2 linked regions of the Mus musculus genome follow. The main gene of each other region encodes a partner of the protein of the gene in region 2 in a complex. Links are inferred from orthologs where the notes say so. Each region holds a gene or a part of one and is shown on either strand. Other genes may lie near its edges.

Evidence for each region.
Region 1: Actr3 (region 2) and Arpc5 share a complex: the UniProt entries of both Homo sapiens proteins name them as parts of the arp2/3 complex. The link is inferred for Mus musculus from reciprocal best matches to the Homo sapiens genes ACTR3 and ARPC5.

Annotation. Positions count from the first base shown.
Region 1 is NC_000067.6:152,769,533-152,772,810, forward strand, and holds part of Arpc5 (actin-related protein 2/3 complex subunit 5), read left to right. Parts: intron 1-1,831; coding exon 1,832-2,008; intron 2,009-3,278. UniProt on the Homo sapiens protein: Component of the Arp2/3 complex, a multiprotein complex that mediates actin polymerization upon stimulation by nucleation-promoting factor (NPF).
Region 2 is NC_000067.6:125,395,063-125,397,732, reverse strand, and holds part of Actr3 (actin-related protein 3), read left to right. Parts: intron 1-188; coding exon 189-281; intron 282-500; coding exon 501-626; intron 627-2,581; coding exon 2,582-2,665; intron 2,666-2,670. UniProt on the Homo sapiens protein: ATP-binding component of the Arp2/3 complex, a multiprotein complex that mediates actin polymerization upon stimulation by nucleation-promoting factor (NPF).

The DNA of each region.
Region 1 (3,278 bases), about 27 Mb from region 2:
TATGGTATCGCTGCACACCTAAGGAGTTTCTACAAGGGTTTGTGCTCTTTTAAAAAATAAATAGAATCTTACACTCCAGCTGTGTAGTCATGTACATGATCTTCTTTCCTTAGCAATAGATTATTTCTGTGGCATTTAACTGCTATACACTAGTATGTAACATCTTATATGCAACTGATCCCTGTTATTGCATGTTAGATTTTCTAGTTTTTCCTGCTAAAATTGATCATTTTAAATCTTAATTATTTATGTCAATAAAATTCCCAGAAGAGAAATGCTAGCACAAAAATGACATTTTTTAAAGACTTTTGATACACAAAGCATTGCCAAATCTCTCAGAAGAGCTTTGTAGCTTACATCCCTACATCAGCCCTCCACTGATTCTTAGGGAACTGCTTAGTTGTTTATTGTTTAAAATGCAGGCTAAGCAAAGCCCTGTAAAAGCCTACATCTCAGGAACCTAAGAACCTTAATTGAAGAGTAATATGTAAAAACATAATAATTATTGCAGCCACAAAACTTTATATTGGGGAATTTTTTTTCTTTGCTCCTTAAAAGTTGTTAGGAACATCATTAAATTTTCAATTTTACCCCTTCTGATTTTATGTGGTTTTGTTTGTTTGTTTGTTGATTTTGTTTTTTGGCAGCTTGTGGATAGGAGGTTATAGCTCTAGATGCAAAGATATATAGGGAAATGTCAGTCAGTCTTTAAACTGAAGAGAACGTTGGCGGTACAAACATTATGTAAAACCCCGCCCATAGGAACTCCGAAGACCCCACTGTGTTGAACAGAAGGAGCAGTGAACAGCTGAGAGGGTGGCTTCCGTGTCCCCTCTGCTTAGACAATGCCTAAGGGGACACCTGTGCTTCTGGAACAGGCTCTCCCAGAGGAGAAGTTCAGAGATAAGTATAGGTAAATCTAACGTCTGTAAGTAGGAAAGTTTAAAAAGTTTTACATGGTTTTAAAAGGGATCTTTTAAGAAAATAACCACTCTTGAAAGATCAAACAAGATAGAATTACATAAATCAGTTTTTTTCTTTGGTTAGGAGTTTTTAAGACCAAGAAGTAAATTTAAATGTTATAATAAATTGTTAAATTTTCCCATCAGTCCATCAGTCTATCAGTCCCCAGTTCTGCCTTCAGTTCTATCAAAAAAAATGTGTTCCTGAGCTGGACGTGGGCGCGCACGGACGTGGGCGCACACCCTTAATCCCACAGCTCAGGAGGCAGAAGCAGGCGGGGGTCTGTGGGCTCCAGACCATCCTGTTCTGCAGAGTAACCTCCAGGACAGCCACAGCTACAAGGAGGAACCCGGTCTCTAAAACAGCAAACCAACAAAGAGAGGGGGTTCCCTTCTTACCACCTCGACTCACATGCCAGCCAGAACCAGCCAGTGTTGTTGGAATCACCCCAGTGGGCTTTTGTCTTACTCCTGCCCTCACTGCTGTCCTCCAGACAGTCTTAAAATGGGAAACAGATTGGGTCACTGCTCTTGAATTTCTCCACCGTGTCGTTTCCCAGTAAAAGCCTGAGCCATTACAGTGGCCCGCTGGCCCTCACATGGCCTGTCCTCTCCTGTCTTCTCTCTTTTGCTCCTGCTTCTGCCACCACACAGCTCTGTCACACCAGAATCTTTGGAACACTCTGAACGCTCTGAAACCCACGCTCACAGCACTTGTTCTTCCTTCATCTAATCGCTGGCCATGTTCCCAAGGAGTCTTCTTTCACATCCTCCACGTCAGTCTTGAGATGTCACTCTAGCAGGGCCTTCCTAAGGTTTTGTGCCCAGCATACACATGTCTAAATATTCTGTTCCACATTTGCCCTCAGGACCGTGCAGGCAGCATCGTCTTGAAGGTGCTTATCTCTTTTAAAGCTAATGATATTGAAAAGGCAGTGCAGTCTCTGGACAAGAACGGTGTGGACCTCCTAATGAAGTATATTTATAAAGGCTTTGAGAGCCCATCTGACAACAGCAGTGCTGTGTTGCTCCAGTGGCATGAAAAGGTAAGTTACAATTTACACATCCCTGTAGCTGGCTCCTTTAAAATGGAAGATGCCACCTCTGTCACCTGAGAAGTGACTTGACTGTACACCTTGACTAAAATGAAAAGTTTACATTTGCTTACCAGCCTTGATCTTAAAGGATTCCTTTTTGCACTGCATATTTATTTGCATATACTTAGTACATAAGTGATTATGTACTTGAAATATGAATTCTTTTACATTAATCAAAGGATAGAAATAGCTGGGCAGTGGTGGCATCCACCTTTAATCCCAGCACTTGGCAGAGGCAGGCGGATTTCTGAGTTCGAGGCCTGCCTGGTCTACAGAGTGAGTTCCAGGACAGCCAGGGTTATACAGAGAAACCCTGTCTCAAAAAAACCAAAAAAAAAAAAGGATAGAAATAACCCAAGATAAAGATTAATATATGGTACCTAGAAACAGTGGGGTGTTACTCATCCATGGAAGGGAATGGAGTTTTTGTACATTCTACAATATAGATAAATCCCAGCAACTACATGATGGCTCACAACCATCCGTAATGAGATCTGACACCCTCTTCTGGTGACACTGAAGACAGCTACAGTGTACTTATATATAATAATAAATAAATCTTTAAAACAAAAAAGAAGTATTTATATTTCTACTTGTGTGAAATAGTCTGAAATAGGCAAGCTCAAAGGGATCGAAAGTTATAATAAGTTGCCAAAGGCCATGGAGAAGGAGTATTTGCCTAGCATTCTTGGTTGATCTCATGCACTGTAGTTTTGTATTTCAAAAATTGTTATCGGCATGTATGGCAGTGTATGTCTCTAGAGAGAGGTATCCCAGGCCAAGCTGGTCTACATAATGAATTATATGCTGTACTGGGAGGCTGGTCTCAGGGAGGAAGAGAAAAGGAAATTATTTTTAGTTCTGTATAAGAATTTAGTAGATAGATGAACCAGGTGACTCAGTTGGTTAGAATTTCGTGCCAGCAAACTTGACAACTTGACTCATTCTCTGAGGCCCACATAATGGGCAGAAAGAACTGACTACCTACACACACACACATTCACGTACATTGTACCCACATACATGTACACAAAGCAAGCTTTCATACCTAGCTCTTGTACTGATAAAATACTAACAATAACATAGCCACATCTCTCCATAGAAACGCTGGGATTCCAGGTGTTAACCATTCAATTTGCCTATGATTTTTTTTGTGTACATTGTGGGAATGTAACTCTGTGAGTTAGCACTTTTGATGTGCTGAGCCATCCTTCAGACC
Region 2 (2,670 bases):
TGTCTCATAGTACAGGCATGGCTTGTTAATTGAATCTTGCCTGACTTCTATCCTCAGTAGCTGTAGTATGTTGGTCACCATGGTCCTTTCACTCCTGAGCTGGATTGTTATTAACTTGAACATTACACTAACACAATGTTAACATAACAATTCTATACACTCATGTATAAAATATACTTAATTTTCAGTTTGCTAATCCAGATTTTACACAACCTATCTCAGAAGTTGTAGATGAAGTCATTCAGAATTGCCCCATTGATGTCCGGCGTCCTCTCTACAAGGTTAGTGTTTACAGCAAAAACTGGAGTTTTAAGTTTTCTTTTCATAATATTTAATAGCATATTTTAAAGCCTTTATTCTTGTTCATTGTTGAATATTAGAGAATTGTGTCTTAGAAAAGACACAATTGAATTCTTGTATATTTGTCTCTAGATTGCTTCTCTTTTAAAATAAAGATCATAATTTTTGGTTTTTTTTGTTTTTGTTTTCTACCACCACAGAACATTGTCCTCTCTGGTGGTTCAACCATGTTCAGGGACTTTGGACGTCGTTTGCAAAGAGATTTGAAGAGAACTGTAGATGCCAGGCTGAAGTTAAGCGAGGAGCTGAGTGGTGGTAGATTGAAGGTTGGTTTTCTCAACCATTGACAGAGAATGTGGAAGACCCCCTTGTTACTGCATTCTGGACAGGAATGTTTGCCAGCTCTCACTTAGGAGCATTAAGACAATCATGCCAGGCGTCCTGCTGGAAGGTAGCCACTATCCCTAGAATCATGGGTGCAGTTTGTTGCTTGGTACTTTGCTCTGGTTTGAGCTCTGTTGAGAAATGACAAAATGTCACAGCTCAGGCAGACTGCTTGTGCAAAAAAGGTTTTTATGTTTGCTTTCCTCCTCAACCAACCAATTCTTCTGACACTCACATAACTCCACTGTGTGAAAGGCTGACTTGTGTTTCACAGATATAGTTTTAAATCTGTGTAGCAGGGCCTGGTGAGATGCTTGTTGTACACACCCAGTGACCTGACCTGAGTTTGATCCCTAGAATCCATAGAAAGGTGAAAGGAAAGAAGCAACTCTCAGTGTTATCCTCTGTCCTCCTCAAGCATACCATGACACACACATAAAAGTTTAAATTCTGACTTAGGGGAATTCATACATTGATTATAAACACAAGGTATGGCTGTTGACCTAAGACATATTTCACCAGTTGATTTAAGAATGATCTGTCAAGCCAAAGGAAAACAGAATAAAATTAAAAACAGAAGAAAACAAAAACAATGTTATATTATTTAGTCAAGGAACATACATTCCTCTTTCTCTCTCTCTCTCTCTCTCTCTCCTCTCTCTCTCTCCCTCTCTCCCTCTCCCTCCCCCTCCCCCCTCCCTCCCTCTCTCTCTTCCTCCCTCCCTCCCTCCCTCCCTCCCTCCCTCCCTCCCTCTCTTCCTTCCTCCCTTCCTCCCTCCCTCCCTCCCTCCCTCCCTCCCTCCCTCCCTCCCTCCCTCCCTCCCTTCCTCCCTTCCTTCCTTCCATAATTTGGGGTGGTGTGTGTGTACACGCATGCACCTGTGTGCTTGCATTCACACATGTTGAGATCAAAGGATAACTTGAATGAGTTGGTTTGATCCTTTTACCATGTGGGTGGGTCCTGTGGGCAAACTCAGATTGATAACAAATGCCTTTTAACACTGAGCCATCTTGCTGGCCTATTCTCCAGTTAAGGAGCTCTAGGAAGCTTCACTTTGCTCACTGTTTCCTAGCCTGGACATATTTGAAGAGTTCAGGCTGTGTATTTTCTGAACTTTGTCTTGGTATGGGTCTGTTTGGTGTTCCTTCTGGGTGGGTGTAGTTTGTGCTTTGACAGTCACATCACAGAAGCGTTTTCATGTCAGTTTTACTGCGTTTTGTCAGAGAATGCATTGACTTTAACTGCTTGGTAGAGGCTTCCTGCCAGTTTTCTTCTGTGTATAGCCTGTTACCTTTGCATTCCCATGTGTAGAAACTTAAGAGGAGGCTGTCAGGCCATATAGCTGTTCTGTGCTTCATGAGACTTTTCAACCAGCAGTTTTAACATTCATTCTTGTTTTCCTGAAATAGTTGTGGCTGAGGTAGTTGCCAAAAGTACAGTTAACTTGTTCCTGTTTGTGGCTGAAGTAGTTGCCAAAAATAGAGTTAGTTTCTGTCTGCCCTGGTTTTGCCCCATGCATGTCTCCTTATATGTATTTGATTTATATGTTTAGTATTTAATTATACATGATTTATGGAGTACAGTGTGATAATTTGATACATGTATGCAAGTTGTAAGATCAAAGCAAGGTAATAGCATTTCAGTTTCTTTAAACACGCATCATTGTATTTGGAGCCTCTCAACTCCGGTGTGGTAGGGCAAATACTGGTGCTATGCTGTGTGTACTGACAAGTGTGGTCATCTTCATCTGCTGTTCCATCACACCCACTCTAGATAATCTCAGGTCCTGAGTTCTGTCCCTTGGACTTTATAATTATTATTTTTGTGTATGCGCATTTAAACTTAATTGATTGAGAAATTGGTATTTGAATTTACTGTTACTTTGTTACTTTTTAGCCCAAGCCTATTGATGTACAAGTTATTACACACCATATGCAGCGGTATGCAGTCTGGTTTGGAGGGTCAATGCTGGCTTCCACGGTTCG